4 linked regions of the Saccharomyces cerevisiae S288C genome follow. The protein of the gene in region 2 binds, or shares a complex with, the protein of the main gene of each other region. Each region holds a gene or a part of one and is shown on either strand. Other genes may lie near its edges. The genes, in order: MRP35, MRPL51, RML2 and MRPL22.

Region 1 (2,521 bases), on a different chromosome or scaffold from region 2:
AAGTTTTACTGAGAAGAGCTTCTGCTAACGAAGGGCTAGGAAAATTTGCGGATGCGATGTTCGATTTGTCTGTATTGTCTCTAAATGGTGACTTCAATGACGCCTCTATTGAACCAATGTTGGAGAGGAACTTGAATAAGCAAGCTATGTCTAAATTGAAAGAAAAGTTTGGCGATATTGACACCGCTACTGCTACTCCAACTGAATTATCCACCCAACCAGCTAAAGAACGCAAAGACAAGCAGGAAAACTTGCCTTCAGTTACATCCATGGCCTCTTTCTTTGGTATTTTCAAACCCGAGTTGACTTTTGCCAATTATGATGAATCCAATGAAGCTGATAAAGAGTTAATGAACGGTTTAAGTAATTTGTACAAAAGATCTCCCGAAAGTTACGACAAGGCTGATGAGTCTTTCACGAAAGCTGCAAGGTTATTTGAAGAACAATTGGACAAGAACAATGAGGATGAAAAGTTAAAGGAAAAATTGGCCATCTCATTAGAACACACAGGTATTTTCAAGTTCTTGAAAAACGATCCATTGGGAGCTCACGAAGACATCAAGAAAGCTATTGAATTGTTCCCAAGAGTCAATTCATATATCTACATGGCATTAATCATGGCTGATAGAAATGACTCGACTGAATATTATAACTACTTCGATAAAGCGCTGAAACTGGACTCAAACAATTCTTCTGTTTACTATCACCGCGGCCAAATGAATTTCATTTTACAAAACTATGATCAAGCAGGAAAAGATTTTGATAAAGCTAAGGAATTAGACCCAGAGAATATCTTCCCTTATATTCAATTAGCATGTCTAGCGTACCGTGAAAACAAGTTTGATGACTGTGAAACTTTGTTTAGTGAAGCTAAGAGAAAATTTCCAGAGGCACCAGAAGTTCCAAATTTCTTTGCTGAAATTTTAACAGACAAGAACGATTTTGACAAGGCTTTGAAGCAGTACGATTTGGCTATTGAATTAGAAAACAAGTTGGATGGTATTTATGTTGGAATTGCGCCTTTGGTCGGTAAAGCCACTTTGTTGACAAGAAATCCAACAGTAGAAAATTTTATTGAAGCCACGAATTTATTAGAAAAAGCGTCCAAACTAGACCCAAGAAGTGAGCAAGCTAAAATCGGTTTAGCTCAAATGAAATTGCAGCAGGAAGATATCGATGAAGCTATTACATTATTCGAAGAATCCGCTGATTTGGCTAGAACTATGGAAGAGAAATTACAAGCCATTACTTTTGCTGAAGCCGCTAAAGTTCAACAAAGAATTAGGTCTGATCCAGTATTGGCTAAAAAGATTCAAGAAACTTTAGCTAAATTACGCGAACAGGGTTTAATGTAAACAGTAAACATAAACTTAAAAACTTTTAGGAGAAGACAAAAACTAAGTAACAAAGTAGACTAAATGACAAAGGAAGAGCAGCAATGACATTGACATCTCACTTTGAAAATTTTTGTTTTCATTTTTGTTTCAATATACACGTATGCATGTTCTAATATATATATATATATCTTTTTCTTTTTCTCTTTCATTCTGTAAATAATTAGCAGTGCGTATAAACCACAACCAATTTTTTCAACCTTGAAGCCCTCGCCAATTTGCGGAGCCTAAAAAAATCTGGTCAAATACAAAAAAGATAGTATATATATCTATCATGAAAATTAGCTTGCATAACAAACGGCAACGAGGAGACCAAAACCAAAACATGTCTGTTTTCAATGTACTCAAACCACTACTTAAAGGTTCAAATAGTTTCAAAGTGAAGCTCAACGGCTTTCTATTCAATAACGTTTCTACAATAACAATAAGAACTTTAATGAAAACTCATAAAGGTACAGCAAAGAGGTGGAGGCGTACCGGTAATACTTTTAAAAGAGGCATAGCTGGAAGAAAACATGGCAATATAGGCTGGTCCCATAGATCATTAAAAGCCTTAACCGGAAGGAAAATTGCCCATCCAGCTTATTCAAAGCATCTAAAGCGGTTATTACCCTATCATTGAAGGTGGAATAATTATGTTCTCCTCTAAACCAAACGCACCGTTAACCCCAAATCAATTGTTTGAGTATTTGCTTTCGGTCTTCATGTATATAAATAAGTATGAAACAATAACCATAAATTTATACAATCGATAATACCTTAGAGAATTCAAGCGTTGAAGTAATTAAATACTATTTCGTCAGGCGCTTGCAACCATCTCGACATCATAATCCTAACCCCTCAAAATGATTGAAAAACTTGTAAATCTTAACGCTCCTGTGATAGTCTATAAAAAAACTGTTCTTTATGGAAGACTTTGATGTATACATACATACATACATATATAAATGTTTTATCAAATCTGGCCTATTTTTCACTTTGGCTGTTGCCGGTAAATTCCTTTTCAATCCATTTGTGCGTGATGTTGTCCCTCTTCAATTCTGCAGTAGGGAAGTAATGATAATTCGTTTTCAGTGAAATAGCGAAGGGCACATTGTCGAAAGTCATTAACCTCATTTTACAATAAC
Region 2 (2,772 bases):
AGGCTTGTTGATGATGTTATCAATGGTCAGTTGGGCGTTTCCACACAGTTCGATGTCGTGGAAGAAATCCATAACTTAGTAACCAAACATCAAGATGCCTTTTTTGAGTTTATTCATGATGTATATTTGAACGATTCAGAGGGCATTTTTGAAGGTTTTATTACTTGGATTACTACGATAGTGAAATTTTTGCAAAAGAGTAAATTCGGAGGACCGAGTGAAAGGATCGACTTCAATAAGTTAATTTGTAGAGATGATATCGATATTGATGTCAAACTTTTGAAAGTTCAAGTTAATAATGTTCTTAATAAAAAGATTGGTGCGAGAAAAATCTATAAGAAGTTGTTAGATTTGAAGGTTAAACAAGGTACTAAACAAAATAACAAACACGCTGCTGGCATACTTCAAAAGAATTGGAGTGACATAAACTCCTTGGTTATGCCATCCAGCTCTGGATCTTTTGGACTTGGAGATGGTGATTTGGTGGATTTGGATCTCGATACAGGTGATTACGATTTTTTACATAAAGAGAATGAAGTTGAATTAGAAAAGCAATACAAAGATTTATTGAATCTTGTTGTTGATGAAAGTGAAATTGATAAATTGAGATCTCAAGTTTTCGCACAGGAATTAAAAAATTATTTAGAAGCTCAAATTGCTAAAAAGTAGGCCCTTTCTAGTATCTCCTTTATTCGTTTTTATTCGTTACGATTTTCCGGCTTAATAATATAGGATTGCTAGGTCTATATATAAGAAAAGCTTGTAGAAATAAAAAAATAGAAAAAACTTCAAGATAAATATTGTTCTCTTTTATTTTAAGATCCTACAAACAGCACAATTCCCCTTTTAGTTATTTTTAGCCAAGATCAGGATAGCAGAGAACTGAGTCCCTTATTCTTTAATTGAGGGTCAAAAAATTCCGATTGCGAACTTCATCTCCACCTTGGCAAAGGAATGACGAAAAAATGATCTTGCATATATATATTTACTTGTAAAATAATTATTTTGGAATTTTTCTTAACAAACCACCTGACAAACAAACACCGTACGCAAGCATCCCGCAAACATTAGAAAGATTGAACAAAAGACTCAATCCGTGCGACTTGCCAAATTCTTTACGTAATATAGCATCCTTTGCTTCCAATTCACTACCCGTGTATTTCTTCGCAATATTCTTTCTTTGTTCTTTAACTTTATGGGTCCAGGGCAACAACCAAAACAAATTGGTTAGCCCACTGACAGATGCAACCACCAAAGAAGATAATGGTCCTGTTGTCAAGGCAATTGGAGCGGTAAGGGCCAGGATGACAGGTGATGCCGCTTGCATTTGGAAAAAATACGGGAAGATCTTATTTTGCAAAGCAGAAAATTGGTCTTTTTCAAGAACTTTGAATGCGATTGGAGAAGCTACATAGGAATAAAACGTCGTTCCTCCAAATCTGAAAGATTAAGTTGGTACATAAAAGTTGTTAGTCAGTTATTCTCAATTAATCATAATTGTTCAAATTTTTTCTTGTGTCTTAATCTGTACATACACAAAGGAATAAAAAAGCAAATGAGCCGTAGTTTTGACTAAACACATTTTTCGTTGTTAAGTTTACTGGACTGTAAAGCGTAGTTTGATCTGCCTATATCATCAAACAACTCCATTTAACTCCCTTAAATAATACTATTCTTTTCTGTAAGTTTATCGCACTATACGTTACGGTGCTTTCCGTCTTTTTCGGATGAGGGATGCTCATAAGAATTACAACAAATCATAAGCCCTGAGATAAAAAAGATCAATCAATACGATTATCATAAACCATGACTAAGTAGATACACAGACACGAATATATGGAGAAATGGTTGTGAAAGCTATTGCACGAAATTCCATAGGTCGTAATGGAGTTGGAGCATTCGTGTTTCCATGCAGAAAGATTACTTTGCAATTCTGTAACTGGGGAGGGTCTTCGGAAGGCATGAGGAAATTTTTGACTTCAAAGAGATTAGATAAATGGGGCCAGGAGTTCCCATGGATACAGTTTGAAGTGATGAGGAAGTCTGGACATCCTTTGTTGAGGGCAGAATACACAAATGGGCGTGAAAAAGTTATTTGTGTGAGAAACTTGAACATTGACAATGTAGAAAACAAGCTAAAGCTATTGAAGGATTCTGATGGAGACATTTTACGCAGAAGAACAAAGAATGATAACGTGGAAAGCTTGAACAGTAGTGTGAGGGGTATATGGTCGCCTCTGCATGCTGCGAAAAGGCATAGAATTTAGCTTTAGTATATAAGAAAATTCTAGAAATAGAGAGAGATAATTATACTTGTATATATAATTTGGGGCAGATAAGACTCCTGATATTTAAGATTTAAAGTCAATTTTGCCATTGTTATATGATCATGTCCTGAAATATGACCTCTTGTATTTGGTTACCCGCTTTACACCCTGCAAATCACACTAGTCTAATAAATATGGAATAAGACTGAAACATATAAAAGATGTAACTTCTAGGATATCTGAAAGAGCAACCGTACGGTATTCAACGTTTAGATTTGATGGACGGCCTTAGCTTTGTTGATAAAGGGAAAATACCAGATGGTTACAAAAATGAAATAGATCAATTAGTAAAGAAGGAATTTGCGAATATAAAAAGAGAGCCTGTTCATCCCGAAATACGAGGTATACTTGCGAAGAGAAAGGGGGCCGATAATAGTGTTTCTACGCTTACAAATGCATTGTACACCGAATACTTGAAACAACGTAATAACAAAAAAAGGCGAAC
Region 3 (3,594 bases), on a different chromosome or scaffold from region 2:
TGAAAAATGGGTGAATTTTGAGATAATTGTTGGGATTCCGTCTGTGTTGAAGGCAATAATATTAGGTATACAGGATATACTAGAAGATTTCCTCGAGATTATAGAAATGCCCAAAAGGAAGTCGATAGTGCTACATAATTATGTAACTTCATCCTCCTTCCTTTTATACTTTGTCGTTCGCTACCCTATTACATTATTAATTCTTGCATTTCAGCTTCCTTTAAATTTGATAGCTGTTTCCCATCGTACTTTTTGTCAACTAATTCTGTCCTATATGATAATTGAAGAGTGGGTGAATTTTGAGATAATTGTTGGGATTCCATTTTTAATAAGGCAATAATATTAGGTATGTAGAATGTACTAGAAGTTCTCCTCGAGGATTTAGGAATCCATAAAAGGGAATCTGCAATTCTACACAATTCTATAAATATTATTATCATCATTTTATATGTTAATATTCATTGATCCTATTACATTATCAATCCTTGCGTTTCAGCTTCCACTAATTTAGATGACTATTTCTCATCATTTGCGTCATCTTCTAACACCGTATATGATAATATACTAGTAACGTAAATACTAGTTAGTAGATGATAGTTGATCTTTATTCCAACAATAATACATATTAATACTATATACATAAGATCAAAGATGAAACTTGCTTCTTATTCCAGCAAGATTCTATATGCCATGATATACGACGAATAATATTTTGTGAATCAAGTTGATACTCCAAGGTTATGTTCTAATCTATGTTCTGTGGGTTCTTTATTTTTTGAATAACAACAAATAGTAAGCGCAAGTGGTTTAGTGGTAAAATCCAACGTTGCCATCGTTGGGCCCCCGGTTCGATTCCGGGCTTGCGCAGCTTTATTTTTTTAATCCATTCATTTCATGAGCAACTGTCAACTAATTCCAATACGAAGAGCCTAATTCTTTGATAGTTCCTTTTCTTTTCTAGTTTAGATTTCAGAAAGCGTAAACAACAATTTTAATCATCGTATTCAAATTTACATCGAACACGTTCATGATTAGCATGGAGTGTAATCATCATCAAAAAAAAAAAAAAAGAGGAGTGATAATGGCAATTAAGACAATTTTTTATATAACAGTAAGAATTGATATTGAAACCAAATTGTGCTTAACAAAAAAAACTAGGTCGAATGGATATTTTTCTTAATCCAACCGTACCGCTGTGTACAAATGAGGCAAAAGAGGTAAAATGTTTGAGAAAAGATTCCTTTCTTCAGCAATCCTTTTCTTGCATTAAATACATGTTCCTTGAGAAAACTTTTGATGTTTAATGTGTAAATATCTCATTAATTTCAGAATTTTCAGTGTTTGTTGTTTGTAAAATCAGTCATTTCAAAGATCCGCTTGGGGCGACAACTTAGTCATCATGTTAATGAGATACCAACAAAAAACTGTACTTGTAAGTTGTCTTTATCATCTCTAAAGGAACAATAATGCAGAAGAGAAAAAAGTAAAGAAAGTAATACACAAACATCCCCCTCTTGGCTTTATAAGCATACGCAAACAGTATAGTTCGAAAAAAAAAGTATTAGTACGATCTATTTTTGTTTGTCAGGAACTCCTGTTCCTTAACACATTCTATAGAAATATCTATATGTTACCATCCACGTACAGGTTGAAGCGCTTGGTATTTAAGATGAATAAGTATATTCTACGGTTAAATTTGAATAGAACCTCTGTTCTTTAAATACTCAAAAAAAATTTTCCATGCAAAAAAAAGACTACGCGAGGTGGAAAGTTAGGGCTTGAACCTATAATTGAAAGAGAAAGGGAACGTATGGGAAACTGAAAGCGAGTTCTAACTAAGCAAAAGAGAACGTTGTAAACTAGTCCAGAAATACGCAGAGAAGATAATTTAAGTGTTTATGAAAGATGTTGGTGCTAGGGTCTCTTAGATCGGCGCTGTCGTGCAGTTCCACAGCATCGCTTATTAGTAAGAGAAACCCTTGTTATCCATACGGTATACTCTGTCGAACTCTATCTCAGAGTGTTAAATTGTGGCAAGAGAATACTTCAAAAGATGACTCCAGTTTGAACATTACTCCACGATTACTAAAGATTATACCTAACGATACTGATATCGTGACTCTTGAGAAGCAGGATGAATTGATTAAAAGACGTCGTAAACTTTCGAAAGAAGTGACCCAGATGAAGAGGCTAAAACCCGTCTCACCTGGTTTGAGATGGTACCGTTCCCCCATTTATCCATATTTGTACAAAGGTCGTCCGGTTAGAGCCCTAACTGTTGTTCGAAAGAAGCACGGTGGTAGAAATAATTCAGGAAAAATCACTGTCCGTCACCAAGGTGGTGGCCATAGAAATAGAACGAGGCTGATAGACTTTAACAGATGGGAAGGTGGTGCACAAACGGTGCAAAGGATTGAGTACGATCCGGGTAGATCCTCTCATATCGCCCTATTGAAGCATAATACTACCGGCGAATTGTCTTATATTATTGCTTGTGATGGGTTACGCCCAGGCGATGTGGTCGAATCCTTCAGAAGAGGTATTCCTCAAACTTTACTGAATGAAATGGGCGGGAAAGTAGACCCTGCTATCTTGAGTGTTAAGACTACCCAAAGAGGCAACTGTCTACCTATTTCCATGATCCCCATAGGTACTATTATTCACAACGTTGGCATAACACCCGTTGGACCTGGAAAATTTTGTCGCTCTGCTGGTACATATGCCAGAGTCCTTGCGAAATTACCTGAAAAAAAGAAAGCTATTGTTAGATTACAAAGCGGTGAACATCGTTATGTGTCTTTAGAGGCTGTCGCTACCATTGGCGTGGTCTCCAATATTGACCATCAAAACAGATCTCTTGGTAAAGCCGGCAGATCAAGATGGTTAGGGATAAGACCCACTGTTAGAGGTGTTGCCATGAATAAATGTGACCATCCTCACGGTGGTGGCCGTGGTAAATCCAAGTCTAATAAATTATCAATGTCTCCATGGGGACAACTGGCAAAGGGGTACAAGACTAGAAGGGGTAAAAATCAAAATAGAATGAAAGTAAAAGACAGACCAAGAGGCAAAGATGCAAGATTATAAATAGGCTAATTTTAGTAGAAAAGAAGCAACATAGGGACCTTTTCTTCGTTGTTCTGGTTACATTTATCTGTACTATATAATTTTGCACAGCCTGTAGACAATGCCGCTTGTCCACAATCATGTAAATATAAATATTGAAACTTTTCACTTGTTTAAAATTTATGGCAAACCACTTTAATACTTTTTTCTTTTTAGGTACAATATTTACATTTTGATACTGTCCATCAGATTTTAGTCACTAACATCTAAGTTAAGGAAGTAAGAGATTCAGACTCCGGTAAGGAAAAAAAAAAAAAAGAAAAAAAAAAAACAAACTCTGAAATGAAAGCATTAGAAGAAAAAGTTATATCTCATGTACAATTTGAGCAAATTTGGACCGATATGATTTGAGGTTGTATGATAAGAAGTGCTATTTATGATTGTTTAAAAAGATGTTATTTTATTAAACAATTATACAAAATATCCTTTTTTTTAATAATGGCTTACATATTTTTGAAAAGGGTCTTG
Region 4 (3,145 bases), on a different chromosome or scaffold from region 2:
ATCTGCAACTTCATTTCAAATTAGTACCACTTCAGAACTCTCTTCTAGTTGGTTCTCAACAATTTCTTCTCCTTCTACGATATCAAATAAAGATACCACATTCCCAAGTTCCAGTCGGAATACTTCCACATCGTTTTACAGTTCATCGCTTTCATCGACGAACGATTTTTCAACCATAAGCAAATCATCGAAACTCAGTCCATCAGCTTCATCTTCGACAGTTTCCATAAGCACGATTTCCGTGCCAACGTCAAGTTCTGTTAGCTCATCCAGCAGTAAAGTACCTTCAAACCGTCCTTCATCATCATCATCATCAGATGATACAACAAGTGCTTACTCAAGCACGTATACTTTTCAGTCCTTACAATCTACTACTAGCAGCAGTATACCACCCACCACTCAAACACCCAGCACTAGTACGATTTCTACGTCTCCCATACCAACATCCAGTCAGGTCTTCAATACGGTAGCCATTTCAAGCTCCGAAGATTCAAAAACTATTTATTATTTCTATACCCAAACATATGATATTACTGACTCCTCTACAACGTTCGTGACGGGATTACCTACGACCATAGCAGTTGCAAAAAGTGAGGTAACCTCATTTTCCGCTCCATCTTCGACGATCACAGCTGACATGTCTTTCTATCAGCACTGGCTTGATGGCAGTTTGGATAATAACAAAAACCAAGGCACTTCAAAGACAAATACTGGTACCATTGTTGGAAGTGTGGTAGGAAGCGTCGGTGGTATTCTTATATGTGTACTAGTAGTTTGGTTCATGCTGGTTAGAAAAAGGAAGGCAAAGAGGCATTTCAAGGAAAACGATTCCTTCTGTCACGAGATTGGGCGCAGAACGGGATTCCCAACAACTGCCCAAGCAAAAGAGGCGTCACTTCAAGCTCAAGACTCGGGATCACAGCAACGAAACACCGAGACTGCTTCTGCTAATAATCCGTTCAGCAACGAATTCAATTTTAAGGCAAGAGGAAATCCTCCTCCAGTGCCACCACCAAGGAATGTTACCGCAATGAATGGCTCCTTTCAAAATATGCGGAGTAATTTCATGGACCAGGAAAACAGATTTTCCTATGGCTCTTCATTTACATATTCGTCATTGGGTTCATCTACTCAAGGTGGCTTTTCTACTTTATCTTCAAATTCGATACGACTCGGACGTGGTTTAGATAATGACATCTCTCATGATGAGAGAAATACAGTTCAGAACAATTCACAAGGGTTCTTGAGGGAAATTATATGACGATGACTTCAGTCTATTAGTATGATGTTTACTAATTAAGCAAAATCAGCTCTTGCTGAATAACACTACTATTAAAAATCATAAAAACATCTTTATTGCCAATAGTGAAGAACGACAAGGCCTTTTAAAAGGCATAAAAAACAATGATACCATTCTGCAATGAAAAAAAAAGAAAACTTTGTTCTTTGTGTATAAAGAAAATATTTTAGTTCTCCTAAATAAATAAATACTAAATTATACGAAACTCTTTCAGTCTTTTCTCCTGCTTGCTGCTTGAACAGTACTCATGATATTCTATTAATCTTCTGTGGGCGGGGTAACTAAGCCTTCACTGTACTCGGGATTTTGAATAAAAGTCAACTATCCAATCTGGAAGGCATTTTAACATACGCCATTAGGAGCCGCATAGCAAGTCAGAGAACCTCACCTCACCCTATCTTTTTTATTAAAGAAAATGAACTTCCACACGGCAAGAATATCTCAGGTCGGTGTCATTTCTAGGGCTCTACTTTCTTCTGTAAGTAGACGTTGGATTCATGTAACGCCAATAAGTCTTAATAATTCAGGAGGATCACTATTCGGAAGCATTACAGAAAATAAACCAAAGGAAGGAAAAAACAGGGGGGATGAAGATGCAGGCAGCTTCTCTAATAGGTTAGCGATTGCTTCTGATTCTTCTGGAGAGGCTCCTGAAGTTAATAGGGATTCAATAACCATAGAAAACGATAAACTACTACAGCAACATATCATATCGTTGCAGCAACCGGAACAATTAGCATCACAGAGCTTATTATCTCCTTTGAAAAGGGAAATATATGAAGCTAATTGTAAAATTAATGGTGGGTTTTACAAGAAAGATACTATTGTAAAGTTACCAAATTCTAGCGAACGTTACAAGCTAAAGTTAACAAAAAGAGAAATTGAAGTACTAGAACCTTCCGTATATGCTCAGTCATATAGAATTAAATCGTCGATGAAAAAGGCTACACTTTTGTTGAGGTTATTGGGAGGCCTCGACGTTATGAAAGCTATATCTCAGTGTCACTTTTCTAATAAGAAAATTGCTCGCGAAGTAGCAGAACTACTTCAAAAAGGTGTAAAAGATGGCCAAAAATTAGGTTTGAAACCAGAGGACTTATATATCTCTCAGATTTGGACAGGGAGTGACGGGTTTTGGAGAAAACGTGTTGAATTCAAGGCAAGGACAAGAATCGGAATCATAAGTCATCCTTACATACATGTCAGATGTATTCTGAGAACAAAGAGTGTTACGAAACGAAGACTTGCTTATGAAGCACATTTAAAAGAGCAAAAAAGAGCGCCATGGGTACAGTTGGGAGATAAGCCCATTAGGGGTGTTACAGGCGGCGTATACAAGTGGTGAAAACGATAGCGAACTCATTCATATCCGAGAAATCGTCCTGTAAGCTGAGAAAGATGAACTGCTACTCACTTCTTAACCTATATTCACAGTTGTGTTGTACAAAACTTTTCTTTTGATTATATAATATTGTGATTCTGTAAATAACAACTAGTTTCAACGCACTGCTTCAACGTGCACCCTCCTGACTAAACACGGCAATATGCAAGAAACCGCAACAATTAAGTGCACTAGAATAGAAGAAATTATTGTACTTATAGTTTATTTATGTATTTAATAATTAAATCTAAGCTTCAACTGGTTCAGCTTGAGCTTCAGTTTCTTCAGCTGGTCTGTAGTCCTTGACAGATGGAGCAAGAATTGGTTCTTCTTCTTTTGGTTCAATGATGGTGACAGCATCTGGCAAAGCCTTTGGACCAGTTCTGCTCTTAGCTGGGTCTCTCATAATCTTAACCTTGATACCCAAAACACCTTGTCTCATCAAGACGTGTCTAGTAGCAGTG

Evidence for each region.
Region 1: MRPL51 (region 2) and MRP35 share a complex: the UniProt entries of both Saccharomyces cerevisiae proteins name them as parts of the mitochondrial large ribosomal subunit.
Region 3: MRPL51 (region 2) and RML2 share a complex: the UniProt entries of both Saccharomyces cerevisiae proteins name them as parts of the mitochondrial large ribosomal subunit.
Region 4: MRPL51 (region 2) and MRPL22 share a complex: the UniProt entries of both Saccharomyces cerevisiae proteins name them as parts of the mitochondrial large ribosomal subunit.

Annotation. Positions count from the first base shown.
Region 1 is NC_001146.8:397,518-400,038, reverse strand, and holds MRP35 (mitochondrial 54S ribosomal protein bL35m MRP35), read left to right. Parts: upstream 1-1,668; coding exon 1,669-2,016; downstream 2,017-2,521. Other genes in the region: protein channel TOM70, read left to right, coding at 1-1,355; NMA111 (Nma111p), read right to left, coding at 2,361-2,521. UniProt on the Saccharomyces cerevisiae protein: Component of the mitochondrial ribosome (mitoribosome), a dedicated translation machinery responsible for the synthesis of mitochondrial genome-encoded proteins, including at least some of the essential transmembrane subunits of the mitochondrial respiratory chain.
Region 2 is NC_001148.4:727,947-730,718, forward strand, and holds MRPL51 (mitochondrial 54S ribosomal protein mL43 MRPL51), read left to right. Parts: upstream 1-1,844; coding exon 1,845-2,267; downstream 2,268-2,772. Other genes in the region: LEC1 (Lec1p), read left to right, coding at 1-669; TMH18 (Tmh18p), read right to left, coding at 1,001-1,439, 1,536-1,582; YPR099C (uncharacterized protein), read right to left, coding at 1,811-2,167; SNT309 (Snt309p), read left to right, coding at 2,546-2,772. UniProt on the Saccharomyces cerevisiae protein: Component of the mitochondrial ribosome (mitoribosome), a dedicated translation machinery responsible for the synthesis of mitochondrial genome-encoded proteins, including at least some of the essential transmembrane subunits of the mitochondrial respiratory chain.
Region 3 is NC_001137.3:59,163-62,756, reverse strand, and holds RML2 (mitochondrial 54S ribosomal protein uL2m RML2), read left to right. Parts: upstream 1-1,905; coding exon 1,906-3,087; downstream 3,088-3,594. UniProt on the Saccharomyces cerevisiae protein: Component of the mitochondrial ribosome (mitoribosome), a dedicated translation machinery responsible for the synthesis of mitochondrial genome-encoded proteins, including at least some of the essential transmembrane subunits of the mitochondrial respiratory chain.
Region 4 is NC_001146.8:303,186-306,330, reverse strand, and holds MRPL22 (mitochondrial 54S ribosomal protein uL22m MRPL22), read left to right. Parts: upstream 1-1,715; coding exon 1,716-2,645; downstream 2,646-3,145. Other genes in the region: TDA7 (Tda7p), read left to right, coding at 1-1,261; 40S ribosomal protein uS3 RPS3, read right to left, coding at 2,929-3,145. UniProt on the Saccharomyces cerevisiae protein: Component of the mitochondrial ribosome (mitoribosome), a dedicated translation machinery responsible for the synthesis of mitochondrial genome-encoded proteins, including at least some of the essential transmembrane subunits of the mitochondrial respiratory chain.